2 linked regions of the Struthio camelus genome follow. The main gene of each other region encodes a partner of the protein of the gene in region 2 in a complex. Links are inferred from orthologs where the notes say so. Each region holds a gene or a part of one and is shown on either strand. Other genes may lie near its edges. The genes, in order: ANXA2 and S100A10.

Region 1 (15,020 bases), on a different chromosome or scaffold from region 2:
GGCTAAGCTTGCTTAGAATTTCATGGACTGTAGACATCTTGAAAGAAAGCTAGAGGGGGAAGAAAGAAAAGCAAAACAAGACGACTTAAATAAATATATTTACAATTATAATAGCATGTTAAATGGTCCTGAACCACTGCATTAGAGAAGTTGGGGCAACCCAGTAAGACTGATCATCCCAAACAAGAACACTGATTTAAGAGTGTCCGAGTCACAGCATCACTGATAATGCAACAGTGAGAGGGCTTCTGTCTATTGTACAAGAAAAATTTATCTTCATTCCTTAAGAAACCATTTGTACTGCATTTTAAATATTTAAACTTAGAAAGTGGAGAATCTCCATCTTAGAGAGAGAATCAACTGAACCTGAACTCAGTATCACAAAAATCACGGAGAAGTACGACAGCCTGGTTCAGCTCAAAGCCAAAAAGGAACACCAACTAATAGCACTTCAATCAGAGGCTAAATTCCTCGGGTGCTCAAGGAATACATTGAAACTATTTATATTCATGCAGACGTTTTATAAAATCATTATTGCTGTTCAATCTTTACTACTGGACGCAGGCCACAAATGCCTCTAATATGATATGGTGCTGTAGTGGCTCCCCAGTACCCAGCAATAAGAATCACAGGACACACTACAAATACCGATTAATAATATGATTGTCAGGTGATAGGTAACAAGGACTCTTTCAAAACGACAGTTCCAAAAGGAATAGCCAATGAGACATGATAATCAACAATGTTGCTCCATTGCCAGAAAGTTAGTAATATCTTGCCTACATATATAAAAGATAAAACAGAAAAAACCCTACTAGAGAAATCATAAACATTGCAAAAACGAACATCGATGTGAAGTGCTTATGTTACAACACCCTGCTTTTTTCCAGCTCTGGTTTCTGGTCAGGGAAGTTTGCCAGAGCTGTAATACTGTTTTACTGAAAGGGTCTCTCAACTAAGGAGAAATGTTTTTCCCAAGGTTATAAGCCAGAGGCAACATTTAAGCTGCCTGATGCATTCCTAAAACTCAGCTCCCAAATTCCTCTGCTGAAGGGGGAGACACAGGGGAAAGAGTCAGCTCATGGAGAGGTAGGAGAGAAACAGTGGCAACACCTCAGGATCAGCGATACTCATTTCATCCCATAACTGGGCCTGGAATCGAAATTCCAGGATGCAGAAGCTCCCCAGGGCTCTCTCTGCCCGTCACTCTGATGCCGTCACCAGCTCCCCGTCCATCCTAGGGACCCTGGCCCAACGGCCACCCAGCCAGTCCTGCCTATGTCCTGCCAAGGGGCTTTCAAACTCCACTTTATCCCCTTGCAGTTACTCTCCTGATGATGCTGGGGCCTTCTTGGGCACGTAGTACTAACCGCTCTGGCAAGTTTCCCAGACGGAGAAAGCACACTTCTCACCACCTAACAGTGGGATCTGAAACCAAGAGCTGACAGGAGAAGAGTAAGAAGCAAGCCTGCAAGTGTTTCTAAACAGCGGAGATCTGGTTAAAAATCTAAAGCAAGAGTTTATTCTTTGTTTTAGCTCCTAAAAACCTTTCTTTTTTCTCCATCAAGCCTTTTACAGTAGTTACAAGAGAAGTACTCTAGTTGAAGTTTAAAAAAAAAAAGCCCACTCCGTCACTCAGGAGTGCCAAGAAGGATTCTGAGAAAACTGAAGTCCCAAAGTGATACTAAGGAACACAATGAGCTTATACAAAAGCTGTAAAATGAAATTAAGATTTGGTTGGTAGATATGACAGCAGCACTATATGGTTGAAAAAGTAATTATTATGAAAGTACTTAAGAACTGCAGCACCATACGTTTTAAAGACTAAAATGAAGCATGCTGTTCTTCTCATGTGCTCTGAGCATCATTTTTAAGTGCTTTTCTATACATATTCGTCCAGCTATTAAAGTGTTCACTGCTTACAGAGCAAACAGACTGTTTATTCAAATTTTCTCCCCGCTCTACTTCAATTCATCTAAATATTGCCCATTTAAATATCTGGTTGCAGCTTTTTGAAGTAATGATTTTTTTCCTCCCCTCTTTTGAGTTAGTCAAATTTAAGGCAGAAACAACAGAAACAGCTGGACTAGATTTATTTCTCATCTAATTTCTAATTTTGAAAATGGAGGAATCTTATTTTTTAACAACCGAGACTGAGTTCCATTAGTATTTTTAACAAAATAGAAAAATAAACTAGATTGCTGTATAGGATGTCTGGTAAAGCAGAAAAATCCTTACTTTTAGAAAACTTAGCAAATATTATATATATTACAGAAAATATACACACACACAGAGAACATGTATAATGTACAGAATGTATATATTATACATTCCCCTTTCAGAATGAAATGCAGAAAAATGCTTTTATAGTATAAGTGTTGTAATCACACCTTTCCTCACTTAGAACGCAGCAAGAAAACCTTTCATCTTCTGGTGCAATCCAGGTGGAAGAGTAACAAAAGTAACTCCACTTAAGGAAATATTAAGAACCCAGGGAGGAAAACGAGAGTAAAAAGCACAGACAAAGCTTCCCATATCAACCTATTATTTGAGAATAAGTATTTTTACAGCAAAAATCTAACCTCACCTTTTAAAGATAAGCAGCAGAGTTGTAATAAGGTGCTGCCTGCTTTTGGCTCTATTAACGGAGCTGGTTAAAGGGGGATGATGTATTACTTAGTTATGAAATTCTTAATGTTTATTCTTAATAAAATGAAGTGCCTAACAATGAGACCTTTAGACTCTGAAATCTTTACAACCAATATCAGAGATAAACAACTTGCAACGAGTACGTTTTTTATTCTTACTTGCCGCAAAGAACTGAAATGCATCACAGTGAAAGCTGAAGCAAAGCAATTGCAGGATAATCTTTCAAGGCAATTGCAGCATAATCTTTCACAAAGCAATCACTGAACAGCTTTTTGGAAGACTCCTATTTCTAAATTAAATAAAAACCACATTGAATCAGGCTTGTTGGAACAGAAAACTTGACCCGAGTCCAGGAACAGAACTAACACACCCTTGTTAGCTGGCAAAACAGGAATTTTTGCAAGGAACTGCAGAGAAAGAGCTTCACTGAGAGAACAAATGCATTTCTTGTCACGCTCGACTTTGTAACGCTCTCATATTTGTGAATAGACTCTCACTGTTTTCTAATAGACTGATTTTATCTGACGCAGTTTTGACAAGTTCTGGCTGGATTTGTGTATGTAAATAGAAGATACATGCACTAACTTGTTCTTCCTTACACTGCAAAGGATCAACTTCTACTTTCCAGCTGTAAACTAGCACTACAATACCTTCAGGCAAGTTTCAACAACCAGTTTTTCCTCCTAAGTAAGTCCATACCGTGTAATTCTGAATCACAATGTTACTCTACAAAAGAGATTAACATCCATTTTGAAGCCCAGTTCCCCCTCCCCAAAGGGGAATCACTGACTTGCAAGCCTGTTAGACTGGGCCTAGTCTATATTCAATACCCTGTCCTCGTAACAGTTGGAGGACAGAGGTGTGTTCAAAAGTAGCCCCATACCATGATTCCCAGGTGCAGCTCAGGTATATTAGAGCAGAAAAAAAAATCCCATGAGATCAACCAACGGAAAAAAGTGCCAGGTATGAACAAACAACTAGGTTGCTCAATAAGCAGAGTTAGCATTTTAAGAAGAACTTAATCTGCTCCTGTAGGCAAGAGATTGCACAAAGGGTGTTCCCAGACACATGAGCCAAGGAAACGGCATCCCCGGAATGAGAGAACGGAAACTCTTCCACTGGGAGCAGCTTTGTGTCGGGTCTCCAAACTAGGGCGAGGCACAGCCACGGCGGAGACAGAGGGAGAGCAGGGAGGAGGCAGAACCAAGAAGGACCAGAACGGCTGCTGGGAGCAAAACAAGGACTCAAAACACTCACTGATACACAGTGGTAACTGCAAGTACAAATACGCCAGACTGTCTCCCCCAACTATACCATAATGCTTAGCGGATCATTTTGAAGTCGCTGTTTGGAGGAAAAAAAGTAGCTTTAAAGAAAAGGATCTCAAAAAAATTACTTTAAACCATAAAATAATACTATGGAAAATGCATCTCTTTCAACCGTTTCTTCCACAGACGCTGCTAATAACCCCGCAGATGTTCCACTGCGGGAAGATACTAGGCATATGCAAACTGGAGGATCTTTATTTCTCTGAATTAACATTATCTTGTTTCTGAGACTCGATGGGGATGGAGCACATGACTGCTTTTAAATCAAGGAAAACCATTCCATACATTAATGGAAAACGGTACCCACTAGGGACGTTTATTGTAGCTAGCTGCACCAACAGAAAGAAGACAGACGAACAGCTCAACAGCACTGAAATTCCCAAAGACTCCCTCACTCTTTTGCTTACCTGTAGGGCACCTAAATATTTGTGCAAAGAGACAGCACTTGAGCACGAACGATTAACCTGGGAAAGGATCAAAAGCGCCGCGTGTAAGAAAGCAGCTCACTGCTGCCAGACTACCCCGAAAACACTTCACTGTTCTCCCAGCCAAAGCGCGCAGCAGCCGCCCTGCCGCCCCCGCCCCGCTCCCGGCCGGCGGGGAGCGGCGGCCGAGCTGACTCACGGCCAGAAGGCACCGAGCGCCCCGCAACGCCGCGCACGGCGGGGCCGGGCGGCAGGGAGACCCGCCCGGCGGGCGCGGCTCCGCGGCGCTCCGCGCGGCTCCGGCACCGCCCGGGGGGGGGGGGGGGGGGGCGCGCCCCTGCCCGGCTCCGGGGCCAGCCGTGCGTTTTCGCTGCGGGCACCAGCGCTGAGCGGCCCCTGCGCACCTTCTCCGGGACGATTACGAGATTATTTGGGGAAGTTCAGCGAAGTTTGGGCGCGGCTCCTCTTTCCGGAGCGCGGCCGCGGTGCGGGGCTGGCGGCGGCGGCAGGCAGGCAGGGAGGGAGGGGAGCCCGCAGCAGCCGCCCCGCTCCAGCCCCCCAGCCCGGCCCCGGCCGCCGCCGCGCTGTCCCGACCCGGGGCCCCGCTCCAGCCCGCACCCCCGGCCCGGCCCGGCCCGGCCCGGCGCGGCGCGGCGGCTGCCGGCACCGGCGGGGTCTCACCTGGCAAGGCAGCTCTGGCGGCGGCTCTGGCGGCGGCTGGGCTCGGCGGCGGCCCGGGCGGGGTTTTGTAGGGCCGGGAGGACCCTGCTTCCCCGCCCCGGCGCGGCGCTGACTCGCCGGCCGCGCCTGCCTCCCGCAGGCGGAGGAGGGGGGGCAGTGATGGGGTGGGGAAGGAGGAGGAGGAGGAGGAGGAAGAGGGGAGCGGTGATGGGGTGGGGAAGGGTTGGGGGGGAGGAGGGGGGCAGTGATGGGGTGGGGAAGGGAAGGGGGAGGAGGAGGAGGGGCAGTGATGGGGTGGGGAAGGGCAGGGGGAGGAGGAGGAGGGGCAGTGATGGGGTGGGGAAGGGCAGGGGAGGAGGGGGGGAGGAGGAGGAGGAGGGGCAGTGATGGGGTGGGGAAGGGCAGGGGAGGGGGGGACAGTGATGGGGTGGGGAAGGGCAGGGAGGTCTCTCTCCCATGCCCCGCAGCACCCTGCGCTCACCCCCCTCCACCCCGGGGCTGCCCAGCTCCCCTGGGAGCTCCCGCTTCCTCGCCGCCCTCCCCCCGAGGAGCTGCCCGGGGCCCCAGGGAAAGGGAGGGGAGGGCAGCCCACCCACACTTCACCCTAACTCCTGCTCTGTCCCCTGTGCTGCCGCGACAGCGGTTTGCGTCACTGCAGCCTGTACTTTGGGTTGCCCAAAACCACACCGCTGTGGCAGGACTTGGGCTCTTGCTCAGGAAACAGCTTCTCCTTCCCAGGCGGGCTGGGGACAGCTGCGCCGCGCGGAGCCGAGGCCTGGACACGTCACCCCAGATTTCCCCGGAGCAGGGCACTCACTGCGACCGAGTCATCCCTGCCTGGCTTGCGCTCTCCTGCTCTGGCCTCTAGCAATCAGCAAAGCGCCGTCCTCACTGCCTGCAGCTCTGGCCAAGCCTGCTTTAGACCAACAATATTGAAAAAATTAAGATCTCTTTGGTGTGTAAATCCCAGTACTTTTCAGCTGCAAGAAGTGTAAATCACATGTGCTGCAAGCAATAAACATGAGAAGAAGGCGGCACTACTTCTGCCCCAAGCTCGGCAAAGATAAAGCCCGAAGGATTATCTGAGCATAACTGAACTAACAAGCATACCACAGCAAGGAGAGAAAAAAAAGAAAGAAGTGCCTCTGCCACTCTCACTAGTTATCTGAGCCCATACACCACACCGTCACAAAAGCAAGATCCAGTAAAGAAGCCAAAAGCAGCCAAGATGCAAAAGATCTCTGTTTGGATCACCTCAGCTTACTGTTTCACCACAATGAAGTGGCCAATTGACTGGTGACCATTAGGCAGTCATTCAGGCCGTCATCTGGGGAATGCCACCACAGAGCGGATCTGCTTATGCAAGGAGATATTTGCCTCTGCTACAAAGGATTTTTTTTTCAGGCTTTAAGATAGAGGGGTCTTCTGGCAGAGAGAGGGCAAGAAAGTTTTACGCTTGACCAGGAGCATAAAACCAGGGGTGGAAAAAGCAAGCATGCACAACACAGACACAGGAACGCGGGCTGAGACACGGAGTAACTGTTGGGATAAAACAAGATCACAGATCAAAAAGGAAGAAATATTATTACACTGGACTTTGAACATCACATGAAAGCAAAAGAGAGCAGAGGGATGAACCCGTCATTGCAGCAGGAGAAAATGATTTTAATAGCCCTTTTCCGAATAAACCAAAATGAGATGAAGAGGATGGCCACAGGAAAAGCGTGTCACGGCACAGCATCCTGTCAAACTGACCGGACATCAGTGACAGTGGTGCATTAGTTTAACATGCTAGTTTTCTTTTTGGCAGGGCCACTGGGGTTATTTCTGTGTATTACTGAATCTGTTTTTAAAAATTAATTCCTGGGTATTCCAGTTATACCAGTGTCTGCCACTAACTACTTAATTAAACAGATAATTTCCCCCTGCTTTTCAGGTTTCTTAGAAAAATCACCAAAGACTTGGAAAGGTGATTACAGATCAAAAATACTTGCAGTCCTAGAAGTAACAGCTGTTCTGTATTGCAATATTCACAGGGGGTTTAAATAGAGATAAATATCCGAGAAGCCAGAGAGCCAGCTTGCCTACTAACGGCTGCACGATCTCTCAGGGATGATTTCTTCCCTCATCTCTTTCCAAACGTTCTCAAAGCAAAGCAGTGGAAGCATCCCCAGAATATGCTGAGCTTAAAGAAAAATAAAGTTTCCACATATGCAACATATTACCAAGATGCAGCATGTATGTTGCACTGTCGTATAAAAACGCTGAGCCATATACTGAGTTCATTCAATCTCAGAGACGAGCACCTTCACTCTTGTAACTGAAGGTCCATTTACCTTTCAATGCTTTACTGTAGTCTGTTCCAATGACAATACAAAACCCATTTCCTTAGAAGACTGTTCTCTTTCTAATAACTCAATACTACTTAAAGTTTGAAATTGCGTAGCTCATATACCACCTTGGATTTTAGTTAACTAGATCTTAACATGAACATTTTGCAAAACCTTTGATATCAAATGAATTCTTATATCTACATTAACTACATCATAAAAAGATTTTTCCAGCATTTCCAACAACTCCCAGAAAGGGAATCAAGATGTTGTCTCTAATACCTGACTTAACCATCAGTTATTCAATCCGAGAATCCCACATTCACCTCAGTGAAAGTCTTCGGTTTAAAATAGACAGACAGGGATTCAACAGCCTCTCTGAAGTTAAACCAGGGACTGTGGAAGTGATAAAAGAGAGAGAGAGAGAAAGGAGAAAAAAATACTAACTGTATTCATAGTCATGAAGACATGAAAAATATATTAAAACATATGATGAATTCCCTCTTTTGGTCTCTGCTTATTGAGCCCAGCTGACATCAAAGCACTAGTACCAGTGAAGGAATCTGAGTGGCACGAACAGCAGAAAAGCCATTAACGCTTCTGGCAGAACAACCAAACACGTCCTAATACCAAGGCCTGGTGATCTTGCCCATGGAAATACTACACATTCTTCATATTGTTGAGGAAAAAAACACTGCAACACCCACGAGCTGAAGAAGGCAGCAGCCAGACTGTGCAAACAGAAAAGACTTCTGCTATCTGCCAGAGAGGAAATTAATTCAGTAGAAGCACAGCAGCCAAGCGCCTGAATCACTTCTAAAAATTATACGTTTAAGTCACGTGGGTTATTTTTGAAGATTTAACCAAAGCTTAGAGGATGTGTAGAGCACCTATCACAATGGGTTCTCATCCATGACCACCACTCCCGAGCACGGCATCAGAGTAACTACCATTAGCGAAAAGCTGGGACCAGGCCTGCGGTTATCATGAGCCCAGGATGTCTCTGCACCTTCCTCGTAGATGAGAAACATGCTGCAACTGGCTTGCAGGCAAGGCAGTGCCCAGAAAGGTTTTCAGTTTGCTCTCACATTGCTTAGTCTCCACAACCCCTTAAAATATCTGCATAGAAGGTCAAACAACCTGCAACTTCTTCAGCTGCAGTTACTTACACGTGAGCTCCCGCTTCCCACATGCTGACCGCAAACATCAGAGAGAGTGAGCACTTTTGTCAAATGGAGCTCCCCAGAGTCCCGAGGATGGGAAAACAGATGCAGTTGTGCTGATTTCTCATTCCTCCCTTCCGGCAGCTTCCTGCGAATGTGGTTCATCCCACAGTCTTCAGTGCATGCCTCTAGGTCCATTTACTCCGTCTTCTCAGTGACGTTATCACCACCGACTCTGCTATTGTCTTGTTCCTGTTTAATATTGATTGATACTAGTTTTCTCTTTGTTTACTCTCAATTTAATACACCTAAGCTCTCCCATCTCACCAACACCTTTAGCTTTTCTTGTCATTATCACCTTAGCGTGTTGTACTATTAGAGACCTGATGTGTTTAACTTGAGCATTCAATTTAAGCTCTCCTTCTGACCCAAGCATTCTCTCTGTAATTACATTAATGGAAATGGGGTCACTCCGGCTCTCAAAAGATCTCTACTCTTTCTCACTTTGGTCCCTGATTATTTGGCTCCATCATCTACACAGATCTTGCTTATACTCTTTCAGGATGCTTGCTACAAAGAATCAATGATGGATTTACATTGTAGTTAGGAAGGCCACAATTCTGTCCATATTTATTGGCTACTTAAACTTTTTTCTTCAATGCCCCAAAAAAAAAAAAAAAAGAGCAGGAGAAAGGACTCAAAGGACTTTCTGGTTTAGATGTGGCTGAGCCTGTATGTACAATGTTGCTTCACTGAGTGTATTGTGAGAGTATAATATAAACACAATTTTGCTTAAGTATGATCAGGCAGGCCTCTGGGTATTATTTTTGCACCTTGGTTATTTGGTCTAATTTGGAAACTCCAATGATATAAACAAAGCTACTGTAGTAGCCCCCATGTACAATGAAAGTAGTGATAGATCTGCCGAGTAGATGAATCAATGGATCAGAAGGTGGAGCTGAGTCCAAGCCATCTTGGGGGCAGAACCAAAACATTAGATCTGGAAAGGCAGAAGCAAAGACTGTCTCAGAAATGCAGTTGAACAGTATGGGGATTTGTTACTGGCAATTAAAATGATCACAGGTTATAAAGAAAGTTAATAATATATAGCCACCCAGGTTCCCAGGATAATAACCTCGCAAGGTTATATCTATAGCTAGGCACAAAGAAATACTGCTGAAAGATACTGCTCACTAGACTGTATTAGTAAAAGTCTGTAAACGTTCAAAGTGATGCAACATTTTTCACTAACACCTGCTACAATTTACCTGAAGTTTTACAGAATTGTAATTCTGCTGTATGTTTTCAAATATACATTGCATACCAAAGCCATCTTTTATCTAACAAAGTACCAGAAAACCAGACCTCTTAAGTGTTCCACCTAACAAGCTAATCCCTGGGATCAACTCCATTCTGTGCAATGTAATTTCTACAAATACATGCACGTTCCTGTACACGTCATTCCACGCTTAACATTCAGTTACTTGAGACAAACCCTTTTAAATAAGAGCTAGACTTTTCTCTGGAATGATCTTGTGTATTAGACATATTGCACATATTTTGTTATACATGTATTTTACAAATGAAGCATTATAGTAAGTAAGTAGTGAAGGTAGTATTCAGTTCGTATCACAGAAGTTCTCCCTGGGCACAGGGGCAGGTGGTGTGCTTAGAAAGAGGAAACCTGGATTGTATGCCTTGCAGTGCCACGGTTTGCTGGGTGATCTCAGTCAAATCACTGCCTTCTCACTTAACCAGTCTGCAACTTGTATATTTTGACTGTTAACTCTTCAGGGCAAAGCTTAAGTGTTGCACCTGCTAATGAACATGCACACATGCATGAAAAAGTATGTATTTTAGCAATCACTAACTGAAGATGAGGAGCCAGGTTTTATGGTTTACAGTTGGCCTCTCACGCAGAATCATAAAGTGCTTTATACATTGCATTCGGACCTGACAGCAAAAACTTTTAATGGGTAGTAAAACATCTACTTCTCTCACCATACCAAGGTTGTGTCTTGCTTGTGACTTCCAAAAGTCTCCTCTTACCTTCCAATACCCTTTTAGCACTGGACTTACTTTCAATTACTTTTCTACTCTGTATACTTGCAAATTCACTTCCATCTGCTGCTCATCATCCCTTCTCTGAGACTTCCTCTTGTGTTTGACCATAACATAGCTTGAACTCCGCTTTCCTTCCAATGACTTTCCCTGTCACTGGCGGAAATTACACCGTCGTTCTTATCCTTAAATCTTACAACCTCGGTGGATCACCCTAAGTCTATGGGCAACAGGGAGCTCGCCTAGATCAAGGCGAAGATCAAGAACAAGAAGTCTGGGTGATAACAGATCTGCTTCAAGAAAAGGGAGTACGAAAGCAGAATACCAGCTGAAACTGTAATTAAGAGGATTCATTCAGAAAGGAACTCCTTCAAGTATGCACACAAGCTAATGATAAAAAAGCTGTTTCAGGGCACATATACAGTCTAGTTAAAGTCACCACCAAAAGCCAAAGAACACATCAAGGTTGAATGACTGTGGTGAAATCTCATTGCGCCAGCTGTCCGCTGTTAACAGAAAACAGCATGGAATCATCTACGCTCCAGTCACAATGTTCAAAAGGAAGTAATTCTTCATTACTCTGACCTAGCTGATACAAATAATACAAATTGGTCTTCAAGATGGGCCAGCAACTTCAGGTATCCTGTGACCAAATCCAGGCTATCGCATTTTCCTGCCAGCCAACAGCTAAGTCAGAGGTATGCATACTCATGCGGCAAAGAGAGACTCAGTGAGGGATATGTATCATGAACAAATGATAACCAAGCAATTCAGATACTTTTCTGTTCTTTAGTGTGTGTGTGTGTATGTGTGTGTGTATATATATATATGTATGTACATATATATATATATATATATATATATATATATAAAACTGCTCTGGCACACATTTATCACAAGTATTTATACCATCCAGAAATACTCAAGCTTTGTTTTCTAAACTAAAATGCTAACCACTAGAATCATGGTGTTTCAGTGCACAGGAGGGAAGTAATAATCTGGTGTCTGACTATGAGAGGTTGCCTAGAGACATACACAAACAGAAGTGAAACACGCTTGCCAAATTCCTTGCACTGGTATCAGCAGCATGAACACACTCAGCATCTTTGCAGTGAATGAAACAGCCACAGGACGTACAAACAAACAGTCGCTGCGTGTGTAACCACGTTTCAGTGAATTTTCTTAATCCTAAAGGGATTTCCTGATGCTCTGCTTGATAACCAATTGCCTTTTTATCCTAAGAGCACGCAATCTCTGATACCACAATGGCTGTAAAGCGTAGCTCAGATATCACTTCTATTCAACTTCATTTTCTATTTTCAGCTTACGACGAGTAACTTCAATCACAATTTAGTCTACTCAGGGGCTGGAGAGCTGCAGTTCCACCTGAAACTAAATACCAACCTGTCTGTGGTCCTACATGCATTAATAGGTTAAAAAAACACACCTCACAAAACCGCTACGGTGAGTTCAGCTCTCCCAGCAGTATCAGCATAACACTGGCAGTATATACACAGACTACCAGTATATTACAGCGTTAAGAGAGATTTTGAACCCATTTAGATGACACAGTACTTAAAGTGATCATAGCTGCCAGCTCTACAATAGCATTCCCCAGACCGCCAACACACTGTAGGAAACATTACTGGCGCACGCAGAGTCCCTGACATCATCAGGAACAAAACAGCATCAATAATCACTACAGAGCTTGGTCTCTCTTGCTAAAGGCGTAGAACCAGCTATAAAAGGGAAGCTGCCAAAAATCCTCAGGGGAGTTTTTCCTAGGAAGAGGGTTAAAAGGTTTCATTTAAAATCAGGTCCGCCCTGTTCTACTGTCTCCCACTATTCTATGTTTTTTCCACATCCCTGACATAAACAGCCCCATGTTTTGGGTAAACTTCTGGCCTCTGCCAAAACAAAGGGGAGGCTGTCTCACCTTAAGTAAGTTCCCAAGAACTTAGGGAACAATTCTGAAAGTTTCAAGGAGCCTAATTAGGCACCATCTTAAAACAAATTCTCAACAATCCTTAAACAGTGTATTCCTATGCCAAAATTGTAGCATTCTGCAAAGAATTGCTCCTTTTTAGTTAACAACATGCAACCTTTGAAATGGACCGTGAAAATTAATTACAATATAAAATCACCTTCCAGTTAAAGTTCACTGACCAAAATCTGCATAATATTACTACAGCAATATGGAACACACCTGTAAATCTCAGTTAAAATTAACAAGTCTTTGAAATAGCAGGAAAGTTGGAAGGTTTAAATAAATCAATTCTGTTTAAGTACAGAATAGCACAGAACACTTAGGATTTTGAGCTAGTTCTTACACAACCAGAACTTCACTACCTAATTAGGGTCAGCCTTTGCTGCACTAGCTGGGGAACAAATGATGTCTTGTGACATAAAGGAATGTCACAAATTCAAAAACGGTAGCTTTCTTGATTAAATCTGACTAGGTACACTGATGTCTTTTTCGGTCTTTCAAGTAGCATCTTATATATAACTGTGGACCACATTTAAGGCAAAGTAACTTAATTAAAAAAAAAAAAAAGTTGATTCAGTGAGAGGGAATGGCAGTTATGAAGAGATTCATTTCTGCTAGGCAGGCTAAGACTTGCTTTTCCAGGTCAGAAGCACACACTTGAATTCTAAAACCAGATACTTCTGCCTTTAAAGGATTAGAAAAACGTATCAGTAGCTTGTAGTTTTACTGTGCATGAGCACATGTAATGATTAACAGTTTCATTAATATTTGCTTTCACATAAGCCTCCAATAAATGCTTTCAGAGGAGCTGAACAATTTTTACTGCTGTGTCCTGCATGCTAGTGGCTAGTGCTCCCAAAGGGAACAGCTCTACAACCTTAAGGAGATGAAGGGAAAGGCTGTAGTGATAGAAAAAATAAAGATGGTTTCTAAACAGGTCTTCAACACTAAGGCTTACTTTCCTGATATGACTACTGTCCAGGAAGTCATTAATATATCAATAACCAGCAACCTTCCTAGTCTGTATGGAATAATTGAGTTTAAAGCAGCAGAGAAAGAGACTGCAAGACTAGCTAACATGGAGAGACAGACAGCTGTCTTCCTTCCTGTGGAGTTGGGAGCTGCACCAAAAAAAGCCTTCAGGATAGTTTTTTTACAGAAATAGAAAAGCTAGAACCCAAAATCCAAGGCACAGTTCGACATGTGTGCGTGCACAGAGTAACATGAAGCCACAAGAAATTATTTGGTATTTAAAAGCCAAAGAAATTTGTACAGTATTTTATCTTGTCAATCTATTTGGGCGGAGGGGAAATCTTTTACAGCTGCAAGACAATGCATTCTTTTGATAAATACGATGAAGTACCATGTGAGATGTGTATCTTCCCTGGAGGAGGCAGGAGACAAACTTATTTATTCATACACCTGCATATAAATCTATTGCTCGTTATTAAAAAAAAAAAAAAAGGCTACAATGACAGCTCTATTGACTTCCTAGTTTCTCTTTCCCCACAGCCACTCATATCAATGTAATGCGCTCTCTAGATTCCTTGACCTAAACATGCTGGCTTTTGAATTAATCAAGTCAGTTTGATCAAATTTACTGAGTATTCTGCTTAGGTTATCCACAAAGATGCCAAAGAATTTCAATTGTGATATGAGCACTTACTGATTTTTGACTACAAAATCCACTCAAAGTAGCACCTGTAGCTATCTAGCAATTATACTTCTGTTTTATTGTATTACTCTCAGATACTAACAGAGAACGCCCAATAGTTACAGGAGACTACTGCACTCCTCCTGTGAGCCAAGGGAAGAGAAGTGCACAAATGCAGTGCTGAATGCATTACCTATGCAGTTCTGAAAAGAAAATAAAGGGGGGGGGGAGAAGAGGGGGTTGACTAGTCAGGTAATTTTTAACATGGCTATACCATCTGCTTGGTGGAGGAGGTAAGAAACAACGGGATCCTGACAACTACTTTCTTTACTCTTTTATGCTTGAATTTTAACAAATATTTCACAAGTATGATCAAGTGCTCCGTCTACCAGGCAGTATATCCCAGAAAAGACAGACGGAAGAGTGACTTGGTTCAGCAGAAATTATTTTTGCTTTCTTCCTTTTTACTCTGAACTGCTTGTGCAAAGATTTGTTAGGTGGAGTTTTGCACGTAGAGACAGATCAATTACAGGAAGACTGACACAGAGCTGTTCACTCAGCTATGGGACAAATAAGTCTCAAAGTCTGCATTAAGATAAGAGCCATGACTTCATGAACAGACTTGAATTATTTATCCGCTTGCATCATTACTCCAAATCTGATTTTCAGTTTAAACAAACATTCTCACTTTATTCTGTAGATGGTTTTAAATGGTTTCCGAATAAATATTTTAGAAGTATTT
Region 2 (14,341 bases):
CAGTTGCGCAGCCCGGGTGTTTCTGCCAGCGCGGCGCCCACATGGCGCCCGGCTGACGGTGGAGTGCCCGTCCCCGCCACCGAGGGCTCCGAACGTCACCAGCGCCGGGGCAGCACCAGCCCGGCAGCCGGGGCCGGGAGAAGCCCCCCGGGCCCGTTCGGCCTCCGAGGGACCTTTATCCCACGTGCGCCCTTGTGAGCTGCCACCGCGCCGGAGCCGAGGGACACAGGGGACGCCGCGACCTCCCCGCGCGGCGGGACGCGGCCGCTGTCGCGCTCGCCCCCGGGCGCGGTGAGCGGGGGCGACCCGGGCCCGACGCGCAGCCCCCGGGCGGCAGCACTCACCGCGGCGCCCCGGGGCGGGCAGGGGCGGGCGGGGGGGCTGGGCCCCGGCGCCCCCCAGCCCCTCGCGGCCCCGGGAGCCAGGCCGGGCTGCCGGCGGGGGGCCAGCACCTGCCCCAGTGCCCCGCACCGCCTCCACATGGCTCCCTCCGGGCCGCCGCCGATGTCACGCCGGGGCGGCGATGTCACGCCGGGGTGGTGATGTCACGCCGGGGCGGCGATGTCACGCCGGGGCGGTGACGTCGCTCCTGCTCGCGGACGACAGGCGGTGATGGCGCTCCTGGTTCTGGGGGCCTGGCCGTGACGTCCCCCCGTCAGCTGGGCCTGGTGCCGACGTCACTGCTGGCAGTGATGTCACTTGCGCTCGCTGGGCCCTGGAGGTGACGTCACTCCGTCAGTGAACGGTCCAGTGCCCACGTCTCGCCGGTGGCAGCCGGGTCCCCCCCCGGGTGACCTTCGACCCCCGGTGACCTTCGACCCCTCCCGGGCCCCCCCAGCGCCGAGGGGGCGCTCGCCCCGCCCCCGCCCCCTCCCCCGTGACCTTCCCGTGACCTTCGACCCCGCCCCGCGCTCCCCTTCCTCACCCCGAGGCACCGCTTCCAGCGCCGCGCCGGAGCGTCCTGACGTCACGCGCCCGCCCCGTGACGTGCGTGACGGCGAGGGCACGCCCACTGCCCGCCCCGCGCGCCCGAGGGGCGGGGCCGCGCGCGCCGTTGCCGGGGCGGCGGCGGGGCCCTGCGGAGCCCTCGGCGCCCCTATGGAGCCCTATGGAGCCCTGTGGGCACCTATGGGCGCCCCTGTGGGCCCCTCTACACCCCGGCACACCCCTCCGGACACCTGTAGACCCCGCTACAGCCCCGTGGACCCCTGTAGGCTGCCCCATAGGGCCCTGTGCGGGCATCTATAGACCCCTGTGTACACCACAGACCCCTATACAGCCCTGTGCCAGCCCAAAAAAACTCCGTGGGCCAAAAAAACGCGATGGACCCCTATAAAACCCTGCACAGCCCTGTAAGAGCCCTATACAGCCCTATGCATCTCCGCCCAGCCCTGTCCGGGCCCTATACACAGCCTTGTAGGGGGCCTGTACATCCTGCACAGCTCCCTACAGCACCTATAAACCCCTACACGTCCCCATACAACCCTTAGGAACCCTAAGGCCTTTACAGGCCCTATAGCCTGGCCTTTACAGGCCCTATAGCCCCCTAGAGACCCTGTACACCCCCATACATCCCTGTACACCCCATACATCCCTATGTGAGCCCTGTACACCCATATCCAGCCCTATACGGGCCTATACAACCCTATACAACCCATATAGCCCTGCTCAGGCTCTAAACAACTCCATATACACCTATACACCTCGCACAGCCTTGTATAGGCCCTATACAGCCCTCAGAGCACCTTTGTGTCCCTATGAATGCTCTACATCACTACACAATGCTGTAGACCCCTATACACCCCTATACACCCCTGCATAGCCCTGTATGTCCCTTATATCCTACACCCGGCACAGCCCTGTACAGGCCCTATACAACCCTAGGAATCCCTATATAGCCCTATACACACTGCACAGCCCAGTATGGGCCCTGCACAACCCTATACCCCCTCATACACCCTGCACAGCTGTCTATGGGTCTTATACACCCCTATAGACCCCCTACAGACCTGTGTGGGCCTTTCACCCCTAGGGACCCCTAGAGACCCTGTAGAGGCCCTGTATGAGCCCTATACACCCCTACGCACAACTGTAGCTACCTATGCAACCCGCTCAGCCCTGTGCAGGCCCTAAACACCCCTATAGATCCCTATACATTCCTGTGTGAACCTCATACAGCCCTATTCACCCCATACACTCTGCACAGCGCTGCATGAATCCCATATGTGCCTAAACACCCCTATACACTCTGCACAGCTCCCTACAGCCCCTGTACAACTCTTCATACCCCTATATACATCTCTATACCCCTACACACCCTGCAAAGTCCTGCACAAGCCCTATATATCCATATATATCCCATGCAACCCAAACAGCCCTGTGTGGGACCTATACACCCTTATACACTCCTAGAAAAAGCTGTAAACCCCATACAGCACACACTGACTTGTATAGCCCCTATATACCCCTAGAGACCTCTTTACACTCTGCAAAGCCCTATGTGGGCCTTATACACCCCTACACACTCTATATGCCCCATACACACCTACAAGGCCCCACAAAAATCCATACAGCTATACACACCCCTATAGAGCTCTTTACACCCTGCAAAGCCCTGTACAGGCCCTGCACACCCCTACACACTACTCTATGGTTCTCTATAGCACCTATAGGCCCCCTATACACCTCTGAACAGCCCTGTACAGGTCCTATACACCTCTACAATTTTCTGTGGCACCTATAGACCCCCCTAGACACCCCTGCTCAGCTCTTTACCAGCCGTGTACACACTTATGTACCCCTATAGAACCCTGTACAGCCCCTATACACTGCTGTACACCCCTGCACAGTCCTTACAGATGTCTATACAGCCTCTGAACACCCCCAGACATGGGCCTATACAGCCCTGTACATCTCTCGTCCATCTGCACCCCTGCCCCCTGCACACCGCCTTGCACATCCCTGGCTGGGGGATGTCGACACCCCTTGGTCTGGGGGCACCAGCTCTGGCACCCATTGGCTCTGGCACCCACCAGCTCTGAGCACTCCCCTCCCCCCCACTCCGTCGCTCCTAGGCTCCAGCACCCATCGGTTCCGGGCCCCCCTTCCCCAGCTCCAGCACCCTTCAGCTCCAGCACCCTTCAGCTCTGGGCTCCCCTTCCCCAGCTCCAGCACCCCTGGGCTGCGTTGCTGCTGGGCTGCTGAAGCATCTGCTGCTCTGGCACCCGTGGGTGGTGGCGGGGCCGGGGGGAGGCAGGGGTGACTCATGCGCAGCCCAGCCAGCCCCGTCGCTGCAGCAACCACCGCTGTTTGGGCCAAACACGCTGAATCACCGAAGCCAGGCGCCGCCGCGGGCAGTGGGGCCTCGGGGCGCCGGCCCAGGCGCCCCACGGCCCAGCAGGGCAGGGATGCCTGGGTCCGCTGCATGCCAGTGACCTTGCACATATGCACGTGTCTATGTGTGTGCATGGGCACGCATGTGTGTGTGCATGGGTGAGTGTGCATCTGTGTATGCATGTGTCTGTGAACACGGGTGCGCATGTATGCAGGCACGCACATGCATCTGGCTGAATGCATGCACATGCATGTGAGTGCATGTGAATGCATGTGCATGTGAATGCATGCACGTGTCGGCATGTGTGTGCATGCAAGTGCACAGTCACAAGTGTGGGTGCACACGTGTGCATGGACGTGTGTGGCATGTGCATGCATGCGTGCGTGTCCCTAGCTGTGCAAGTGTGTGCCTGCAGGCACACATACACTGGGGTGATTGCATACTTACATGTGTGAACACGTCTGCACAATGTGCACGCCTGTGCACATGGGTGTGCACACGCGTGTGTGCACGCACACCTGAACACACTGGCGTGCGTGTCAGTGTGTGCACGGATGTGCATTTGCACCCACCAGGGAGTGAGGTGTCCCCAAGCAGGGACCGCCCAGGGACACCACATCCACACCCGGGGGGGTGACAGGGACCCCAGGGTGACCACACAGGGACGGCAGCCCCAAGGGAAAAGACCCCTCCAGCATCGTAGAAAACACACCGCAACTGGGCAACTTTATTGGGGGCGAGCGGGGGAAGAGGGTGCCGGGCGCAGGAGCCCCCTGGGGCGCCGGCCCCAGCTCCCGGCCCCCTCACTTCTTCCCCTTCTGCTTCATGTGCACCACGAAGTAGTCGTTGCAGGCGATGGTGAGCCCGGCCACCAGCGAGAAGAAGCTCTGGAAGCCGACCTTGCCGTCGCGGCACTGGTCCAGGTCCTTCATGATTTTATCCAGGGCCATGGGGTCCTTCTGGTTCTGGGGGGACGGAGAGAGCAGGGCGGTTAGGGGGGAGGGGGCCGGGGCCCTCACCCTGGCGTCGGGGCTGCGGCAGGCAGGTCACAGGGGTGCCTCCCGCGGCCCGGCACGTTGAGGGGTCGGAGGCCAGTGCGGTGTTGGGGGGAGTCCGACCCCCGCCCCGCGCCACGGGGGGGTCCAATGGTGGCACCGTGCCAGGAGGGGTTCGGCACCGCGCCGTGGCGGGGTCTGACCCTGGCACTACGCCGGGGGGTGGGCGGGGGTCCGGCCTCACCTCCAGGAAGCCGGGAAACTCCTTCTCCATGAGCACCCGCAGGTCCTCCTTGGCCAGGTAGTTCTTGTCGCCCGCGTACTTGTGGAAGGTGAACATGAGGGTCTCCATGGCGTGCTCCATCTGGGACGGCATGGCGGCGCGGGGCTGCGGACATGGGGCGCGCCGTCAGCCGCCAGCCCCCCAGCCCCACGGAAACCCGCCGCGGGGCCCGCCGCCAGCCCGCGCCCCGTCTGGCTCCGAGACCTTTGCCCGGAGCAGGGCGGGCTGGCACGCTCCCCACAGAGGCCGCCGCCGCTCGGTGCACGTGTGGGGGGTGCCCGCCCTGGTGTTTTCCACCCTGCGAGCAGGCAATGACTCAGCTCCAGTCCCGGCATCCCGGCCAGGACGGGGGGGGGGGGGGGGGATGCCCTGCAAGTGCCCCCACCCTGCTGCGGGGCATCCCAGCGTGGGGAAACTGAGTCACGCCGGGGAGGCGCTTCGGGCACGCGGCACCATGGAGGATGCAAAGCGCTCCGTGCCTCAGTTTCCCCATCCCGGCCCCGGACCGCAGGGTCCCCGCAGAGGCACCCAGCAGCAAACCTGCCTCCAGCTTCGCCCCGATGCGGCTAGGGACGACCATCCTGGCAGCTCCCACCGCCAGCCCCTCCCCGCAAACCCGGGCGGGGGCCCAGGCGTCCTGCCCTGCCCCGCTCCCTGCGGCACATTTCGGGAAAGGAAACCGGGGCCTGGCAGAGGTCTGGGGCTGATGCAAGCCATGCGCGGGGCACACCCGCTCCCGCGGGACCGCTTCCTGCGCGGTCAGCGCCAGGACTCCTGGTTCCCGCCCGCCCTCCCGCCTGCCTCAGTTTCCCCTCCCGGCTGCAACGCGAGCAAAAGTGTCGGGGCCCGGGCCAAGGCCGGCGTCGCGGCCGGGGGGGACGGCGGCCCCGCCGCACCCAGCGCCGGCCGCGCCATCTGCTTTCGGAGAAGCTCCCTGGGAAGGAAAACAGGAACTGGCCCCGCTCCGGTGCCCGTGGCTCGGAAAACTGGCCGGAGCCGCCAGCCGCGGGCGACGGGCCGGCCGGCCCCGGGGCGGCACGGGGGCCGCCTGGGCAGCCGCCCGGGGGTGCCCCCAGCCCGCCGCCCCCCGCTTCGGGTGCTTGGCCGGGACTTTGTCCCCCCCCCACCGGACGGCGCAGCGCCCGCGCCCCTGCTCCCCGCCGTGGCGGGTGCTGGGGCCTCGCTGCGAACGCGAAATATGCCCTAAATCCCCCCCCGCCCCACCCCACCCCTGCGGGGGGGCCCAAACGCTGGGGGCGCGAGGGTGCCAGCACGGGGTGCAGGGAGCCCCAGGGAGGCGGGTGCTCCCCGGCGTCGTCCCGGCCCCCGTGTGCCCAAGCTGGGGGGGCGCCGGGGTCCCCCTCTCGCGGGGATATGCCTGGGGGGGCCCCCCCGGGTGGCCGTTTCTGGGAGTCCCGCTTTGGGGGCAGGATTGGGGTCCCCCCCTCTAATAGGGGTGCAGGATCAGGGTCCCCTTGTACTGGGGGGCCAGCCTGGGGTGCCCCTCTAACGGGGGGCAGAATTGGGGTCTCCCCCTCCCGGGGGCATTCCTGGGGGGGTCCCCCTTTAAGAAGGGGCAAGTTTGGGGTCCCCTGCCCGGGGGGGGCATATCTGGGGGTCGCCTCAAATGGGGAGCGCAATCGGGGTCCCCCTCTAACGGAGGCGTACCGAGGGGGGGCCCCCTCTGAAGGTGGGGCAGGATTGGGCCCCCCCCATCGGACCACGGCTGGTGGGGTTCCCCTCCGGAGGGGGGCCGGAGCGGGGGGGCCCCTCCGAGGGGGGTCATGCCCGGGGAGGAGGGGGTGTCCCACTTTGAAGGGGGGCAGGATTGGGGGTCCCCTCTAAGGGGGGGGCAGCAACGCGTTCCCCGCAAGGGCGGGCCGGGATCGGGGTCCCCGCCGAGGGGGCGGCGCCCGGGGGTCCCCCCCGCCGGGGCCGGTACTCACGGAGCGGCGCGGCGCGGCGCGGAGCGGAGCGGGGCAGTGGCGGCGCCCGGGCGCGGTGCGGGCTGCCGGGGGCGGTGCGGGGCGGCCCCGCTGACTCAGCGCCCGCCGCCGCCCCCCGCCCGGCCCGGCCCCCCCCCGCCGCCGCCGCCGCCCTTCGGCCCCGGGCGCCTCCTCCGCCCCCCGCCCGGAGCCGCCAGCCCAGCCCGCCTCCGGCCAGCCGCTCCCCCCGCCCCTCTCCTCGCACTGTCCGTCTGTCCGCCCTGCCCTCCGGCCTGCCGTCTGTCCATGCACCCGGCCACGCACGTACCCTCCATCCATCCTGCCATCCATCTGTTCACCTGGCCGCTCACCCACCCATGCGCGTACCATCCGTCCACCCAGCCATGCATGTACCCTCCACCCGGCCACGCACCCGGCCACGCGTGTACCATGGGTCCGCCCAGCCACCCAGCCGGCCACCTGGCCACGCACGTACCATCCATCCATCCTGCCATCTATCTGTTCACCTGGCCGCTCACCCACCCACGCACGTATCATCCGTCCACCCTGCCCTCCGGCCACCCACCCAGCCATGCACGTACCATTCGCCCATCCACCCATCCGTCCACCCAGCCATGCACGTGCCATCCACCTGGCCATGCACCCGTCCATGCACGTACCCTCCATCCATCCTGCCATCCATCTGTTCACCTGGCCGCTCACCCATCCATGCACATACCATCCGTCCGCCCTGCCCTCCAGCCATGCACCCGGCCATGCATGTACCCTCCATCCATCCTGCCATCCATCTGGCCATGCACGTACCATCCATCTGCCCTGCCCTCCAGCCATGCACCCAGCCATGCATGTACCATCCATCTGTCCATGCACCTGTCCATGCACGTACCCTCCAACCATCCTGCCATCCATCTGTCCACCCGGCCATTCACCTGTCCATGCACTTACCATCCATCCATCTTGCCATCCATCCATGCACCCAGCCATGCACATACCATCCATCCGTTCGTCTACCATCCGTCCACTCAACCATGCACGTACCATCCATCCATTCATCCACCCATCTGTCCACCCAGCCAAGCACCCGTCCATGCACATACCATCCATCCGTCCTGCCATTCGTCTGTTCACCCAGCCATGCACCCATCCATGCATGTACCATCCATCCAGCCATCTGTCTGTCCATCCAGGCACCCACCCGCACTTGCACATCCATCCATTCATCCACCCGCCCACCTATTCAACCACCAATCGACCCATCCATCTGCCCAGCCACTTATCCGTCCATCCGCCCACCCACTCATCCACTTGACCACACACCCACCCATCCACATATCTGTCCATCCATCCATCCATCCTTCCATCCAGGCATTCATCCATACCCATCCATCCGTCCACTTATCCACCTGCCTGTCCATCCTTCTGTCCATCCGTTCATCCACCTACCCATCCACTTAACCCTCTGTCTGTCCCTCCCTCCCTCCCTCCCTCCGTTTACCCTTCGATCCAACCATGCCCCCGTCCATCTGTCTGTCTACCCCCAGTGTCCCTGTCCCCCAGGCTGCACCCCCTGCCCTGTTCCCAGTATCACCCCCAGCCCCCTGCTGTCCTGGCCCTTGCCCACCGCAGAGGACCCCTCCCCAGCCCACAGCAGAGAACGGGACAGCTCATCACACCCACACTGGCAGCTGCTGAGCCCCAGCATGCCAAGGCCTGCAGCAGAGAACGGGGCAGCTCATGACCCCCCCACCCTGCACTGGGGTTCCCTTCCTCCCCCCAGGGGACCTTTCCCGGCCTCACAGGGCTCCCACAGCGCCTTGCACGTGGGGGTAATTAGGACTAATTGGGTAACGAGCCCAGGCACAGGGTTCAGGGCCCCGGGGCGACGGCTTTGGGTGGCAGGGAGCCCGGGAGCCGCTGCGCCGCCCCCGCAGCACCCCGGGGCGTCCTTCTCCCAGCCAGCCGGCGCACAGGGCGGCTTACGTAGTGGGGTGAATCCGCGTGGAGCCGCTGGGGTGGCGGAAGGGCACCCGGGGGGCACCCAAACCCACCTGCTCGCCCTCCGGGGGGCACAGGGACCCCTGGGGCTGAGCCCCCCAAACTTGTGCCACGTGAGAACGGGGGGGGTGCCCATTTCCTGCCTCAGTTTCCCCACCCGGAGGTGGGGGTGACCCCCCCCTTCCCCAAAGCGCCCTGAGGTGGAGGGGGGCGGGCTGGGCCGGGGGCAAGGGCTCCCCAGCACCCATGGGGGCTGAGAGAGGGGCGAGCCCTGTCCCCAGGGTCCCCCCAGCCCTCAAGGGACCTCCCCTGCCAGACCCTCCCATCCACCAGGGAGCCTCCAGCCCCCCCAGCCCCCCCTCCAGGGACCCCCCTCCCCAGGCCTCCCCACCCTGCACTGCCAGCGCTTCCCTCCTGCCACTCTGCCCCCAGGCAAGATGGCGGCGCTCCCTCATGCTCTGCAACGGGCGCGAAGCCGCGCCCAGAGGGTCCCCGAGCGCCCTCACCCGACATGGCGCCCGCACCCCGACGTGCCCTTAACGGCGGGGAGGCCGGCCGGCAGCTTGCCAGCTTGCCCTCACCCGACATGGCGGCGCTCCCCTATGCTTCTGAGGGGCGCTGAAGCCGGCCACCGGTGACCCGGATGAGCCCGCCCGCCTGCCCTTAACCAAGAGGGCGCCTGGCTCCCCAGCTTTCCCAATGGGCGTGAAGGCGGAGAGAGGTGAGCGGGGGCCCGGATGTGGGCGGGGCCCTGGCGCGCGAGGGGGGGCGGAGCCAGGGGGCCCGGATGTTGCGTCGCGCCGGAGCCGCGGCGGCCGCCTGCGAGCGGGGAGAGGAGCGGACGGAGCCAACATGGCGGCGCCGAGCCTGAGGCGGGAGTGAGGGAGGCCGCGGCGCCCTCCAGCCCGGGCAGCCCGGCAGCGCCGGCGGGGCCGGGGCCGCGGCCCGGATAGCGGAGCAGGGGGCCGAGCCGGCGGGCATGGCGGGGGCGGCGTAGGGGAGGCCTCGGCGGGTCCCAGCGGGGGTGAGGGCAGAGGCCCAGGCCGCCTCCCCCTTCAGCTCGGTCGGGCCGCCCGGCACCGGAGCAGGAGAGGCCTCGGCCCGGCCCTCGGGCATGGGGGCCTAAGGGGGCCGCTGTGCTCTCGCCGGCGGCCGAGCCGCCGCCCTCCCTCCTCCTGCCGGAGCCCCCCGGGCGGCCCTTCCCGCCGGGCGCGGGGGGAAGGCGCTGCTGGGAGAGGCCGCCCTCTGCCCGCTCCCCAAACCCCCCGGATTTGTGGCTTTTCCTTGTATTTTTTTTTAGGGGGGAGGGGAGGGAAGGGAAAGGCAGATTGACTTGTGGGGGAGGAAAGGTTTGTCCCTGAGCAGCACTTGCTGGACTTTCGACCAAGACACTTAAAAAGCTGGGCGTTCCCCACCTTCAGAGGAGGCCAAATTTGCCTGGCCAGGGAGGAGGAGGGAAGGCAGGAGCAGAGCCGCGCACGCACCGGCGTGCGGGAGCTGCCGAGCTGGTGCAGCATGTGATAATAAAAGGGAGGACGGAAGCGAGCAGAGTTTAGGAGCAAGCAATGAAACGTTAACTGCCTTCTAGCTTCAGAAAACCCTATTTTGATGATTTAGTTACATATTTTGGGAGCTTTAATTTCTGGGAGAGTCAGAGTTTTTATTTTTAGTATTTAATGCAAATGTAGGACAGCGCAGCTGTACAATTTGGGAACTGAGAGTGGAGAAGCTGGAAGAGCTGCTAGCTGTGTGACAGACCAGCTTACCGCTCCATCTCCAGGCCCAGCTTTCAGAGAAGGCTCTCTCCTGGGAGATAAGACTAGTGTTAAGGAGCTGGTGGAGAGAAGACAAGCACTAAAAGTTGTAATTGTGAGTAAATCATGAAGGAGAAGGTATGGGCTGAATTTTAAAGTAACCTAGTTCAGATTACCTTCTCTTGGCTTTTATATTAAGGTTTCTAACTTAACCCAATTCAGTTTCTGGAAAAAGGTGTTGTATTAAGAAAGCAAACTTAGATTTAAAATATTCTGAACAGCCTGCCCATCTCCTTGGTTTGTGAGGGTGGCATAAAGTGCTGCTGGTAAGAAAGAAACAGTCGAATTCTTCAAAAATGGTGTCTTTAAAAGAAATGACCTAGAGAGTGCAAGATTGGTTCTGGACCTTCCTCTTCCTCCTCCCCCATGTCAATAAATTATTTTAGGGTGAAGTAGGAAAAAAGAAGGTTTAGGCATCAGAGTTGTTAGAAAAAAATCTCTTGGGTGGCTTCTGGCAAGTCTACCAGCTTTAACATTGAACTCTGAATTTGGAAGTTAGGCTTCCCTGATATAAGAGCCATATGTGAAACTCTTTGTAGGAGCTTAAGCAGTTTTATTGGGTAGTTTATTTAAAAAGTCAAGGAAAAAAGGGGATAGAAGACTTCTTAAGAATTCTTGTTTGGCCACTGTGTTCAAATTGCCGTACCGGAACGGATATAAACAAGACAAGAAGAGCTTCTCAGTAAGGTTGGTTTTTGTATATGTATTTTTTTTCTAGTATGCTCATGATTCACCCATCCCTCTCGTCTTCCTGTAAGGAACTGCTAGCATAAGTGATAACGTTCTGCCTTTTGCTGACTTCTGCTTTGAGTGATGAGCGACTGCCTTGGTGTCAAATGAGTGTAGCCCAGTGACGTGGACAGTGTTTCATACTGGATGAGCCCTAAACCCTCTTAAAATAAGAGCCTTGATTTAGGAGGGTAGTAGAGTTTTCAAGCAGAACTGATAAGGGGGTTGCTAAAAAAGAGTCTGGCTACAACAGTGCAAAGCAGTTGCTTTCTTTGCCTTCTAGAATTGGAGTGAAGGCTAGTACAAGAATTCGTGGAACTTGGGACAGTATTTCCGTTGGGACAGGTAGGGGGAGAAGAGGCTCAGTCCTCTATGCGGTGCACAGAGACCAAGCTTGCTATATGTTCAGATTTGTATCTCGAGATTGATGGACGTTTTAACAGCCTGTGGTAACGGGGTTGTGGTTGGCCTGACTTTCTGGACTTGAAAAAGTTTGGGAAGCTTTGCTGTAGTCAAATAGTGGGTAATTCTGAATGGGGGAGGGCTGAGTAATCCTGCTCAGGTGTCTTTTTGCTGATGGAAACAGGCATATTGATAAAGTCAGCTGGGCAGTGTGTACTGTCCTCCTGATAAGCTGTTGAGCGTGGTCCAGGGCTCTGATCGTTGGCGTGGGCGGCCAGGATCTGTCAGGCCCTGCCACTGACTGACTGTGACGTTGGTCATAACGCCTGCATTTCGGTTTCCATGGCTTGAGCGTTGTGTCACGTGTTGTTACGTATTTATGTAGGGAAGGCTCAGGGAGAGCGCACGGTGGTGGTTGAATAGCTCCAGCTCAGCACTGATTGGAGTTCCCTCTCAAGAAAAGGTACTATTTCTGGTTTCTTCAACATGGTTTTGATTTCTTTTCTACTTCAAGTTGGTGTCTGGCCCTGATGCTGGCTAAGCTGTTTTTTTCTCTTTGAGCAGTGTGCACAACATAGCTTTTAACCAGCTCTGGAACTGTCAGTGCTCCCATAAACTTGGCCTGTGTCCGTGTCAAGTGAGTCTAGCGCTTGGGTGAACGCTGGTGGCTGCTTGGCCCTTGGCAGCAGCCTGAGTTAACCCTGGGCTGCTTTTATGCTGTTGTTATGGCCCACTGGGTACTTGCCTGGCTGAGGACTCTCCTATTCTTTCTTTACAGCCCACTTCAATATTTTCTGTACTGTTTTCTTCTTTTCTCCCCCTGTGTTTCTGTGTGCGGTAGCTCAGGCTGAACTCCCACCTGGTGGTGGTGGTGGTGGTCTGTTTGTGCCTCTCAGGCTCTGCTTGTGGCTGAAGCATTGTGGGAGAGCGTTCAGATGCCAGCAGTAACCAGAGAGATCTCTTTTTACAGGGGTCTGTTCCTGGGGCACCCTGACGCACGTGTGTCTGGGAGCATGGGACTCCGATGCGTGGAGAGGCTTGGTGCGCAGTTGGGCTGTGAAAACCAGCTGTTGTCTACATGGGCTCGCATTCGCTGAGAAGCGGGTCAGGGGGAGGGCATTAGATCGGCATGTGAAATCAGGGTTGTAGTTTTTACGAGATTCCTGGCTTTGCCACTTGGTGGTAGGAATTAGAAGAGGGAATTAATTGATGTGAAAAGCACTTTCTGCATTTAAAAAAAAACAAAAAAACAAAAAAACCTTCACTCCCCAACCAAATCTACACATCAAAAAAAATCCCACCTCAAAACAGCTGATAGGACTATTTTTACATCTGGTTTGTCCTCATGGGGTTACAAATAATTTGTCTAGTGACGTAAACCGTATTTAAATGTAGCATGGCCGAATACTTCCGTGAGAGCCTTAGCCCTTGTCTAACGTAGCTCCAAGGGCGGTTTAAATACATGGTGCTTATCTGACACTGTACACAGCAGCTTCTTTCTCCTGGGAATCTTGTGCCTGTATATAATGTTCAGTGTATGGTGCAGACATGGCAGAAGCTTCTAAAGTTACTGCTAAACAGGTCAGAGGGTTTTTTTTTAATTTATTTTATTTTTTTTAATGGCCAGGCCTTGCCTCTGGTAGAGTTTCTAGTGATGGCAGTGTAGTTTTCAACTGCAGCTGCAGATAAAATCAAGTGCACTTTTCTGGACTGGGACTAGTCTGGTCTGCTCTAATTAGAGTAGAAACTTTTAGATGATTTTTCTGAGCTATTGACATTATTGTACTGGCTCAGACCCACTGTTCTGTCCCTAATGCTGACCCAAATACAAAGTGATCCAAAAGAAAGGGTCAAAAACCTCCAAACAGGACGATTATGGATTAATCTTATTTCTTCTCAAGTCTCTTTTGGTGATTGCTTTACGCTCTGTGCAACAGCAACTATTTATATGTGCTCTTTTCTAACTAATCTCTCTGTCTTGTCCTCTAATTAATTTGTCAGCTACCTCTCCCAAGTGTACAGTGTTTGGTTGCGAGCGTCTTTGGACAGGAGTCGAGGCAGTCCCTCCATGTTGTGTCAGCCGTGCTGTGAGCGGAGGGCTGCGGGTTGTCGTGAGCAGTGCCTGCTCGTGTGCTGTCCTGGGAACTGGGAAGGTGCGCTAACTGTATGGCTAATTTTTTGGATCTATGTTGCTGAGAAACATGCAGGAATCTGGTTGTTATGTCAGTTCTGGTTGTTATATCAGTTCTACTCATCTGGTGGGTTGAAATATGAAGCTTGGGTATATTTAGGAACTGTATGTTAAATATGTTCCATTTCTGGCCGGGTTTGGGGAGCTGATTGGGGCAATCTATCCTGCAAAATGCTACCCTATTTCTTACGTTTTAAAGCTCCATTGTATTCGGAAAGGGTCCAACATCTCAAGCAATATGGAAAGGAATATTTTGAAAACAAGCTAGTTTTAGCTGCTGTGGATGTCTGTCAAATCATAAAATGCTCTCCCAGCCTTATATATAACAAATACTTTAGTGTGTTAGATCTCTCTGCGCTTGCTAGCAGTGATACAACATAAAGGAAGAAATGCCTGAGTGCTTTTCCCTCCCTTGTGCAAAAAAAACCCCTCCTAAGCCAAAGGTAGGGTGCTGTTCCCTTCCCAAAAAGCGATTGTGACAGTGGAGGAGAAGGGCCAGCTGCTAAGGAGAGTTGAGGCAGAGATTCCCGATGCTGGCACTGCTGCCCTCCTGTGAAGTCAGAGGGGTTGACCAAGCAAAATTTGACACTTTGTGCTCAGAAGAGAGTGTGAAAGGCAGTGAAGGACTCGGTCCTTTATGGGTCAGCTGGGG

Evidence for each region.
Region 1: the proteins of S100A10 (region 2) and ANXA2 are in contact, whole or in part, in a crystal structure (PDB 4FTG), measured with the Homo sapiens proteins. The link is inferred for Struthio camelus from reciprocal best matches to the Homo sapiens genes S100A10 and ANXA2. Residues at the interface, in NP_002957.1 of Homo sapiens: Phe39, Gly41, Phe42, Asn45, Gln46, Ala51, Lys54, Ile55, Leu79, Ala82, Cys83, Tyr86, Phe87, Met91; in NP_001002857.1 of Homo sapiens: Val4, Glu6, Ile7, Leu8, Lys10, Leu11, Ser12, Leu13.

Annotation. Positions count from the first base shown.
Region 1 is NC_090953.1:19,869,034-19,884,053, forward strand, and holds the start of ANXA2 (annexin A2), read right to left. Parts: upstream 5,640-15,020; 5' UTR 5,084-5,639; intron 4,442-5,083; exon of another isoform or gene 4,385-4,441; intron 50-4,384; 5' UTR 38-49; coding exon 1-37. UniProt on the Homo sapiens protein: Calcium-regulated membrane-binding protein whose affinity for calcium is greatly enhanced by anionic phospholipids. It binds two calcium ions with high affinity. May be involved in heat-stress response.
Region 2 is NC_090971.1:402,872-417,212, forward strand, and holds S100A10 (protein S100-A10), read right to left. Parts: upstream 5,359-14,341; 5' UTR 5,330-5,358; coding exon 5,153-5,329; intron 4,718-5,152; coding exon 4,574-4,717; intron 4,300-4,573; coding exon 4,138-4,299; 3' UTR 4,035-4,137; downstream 1-4,034. Other genes in the region: acyl-coenzyme A thioesterase THEM4-like, read right to left, coding at 1-43. UniProt on the Homo sapiens protein: Because S100A10 induces the dimerization of ANXA2/p36, it may function as a regulator of protein phosphorylation in that the ANXA2 monomer is the preferred target (in vitro) of tyrosine-specific kinase.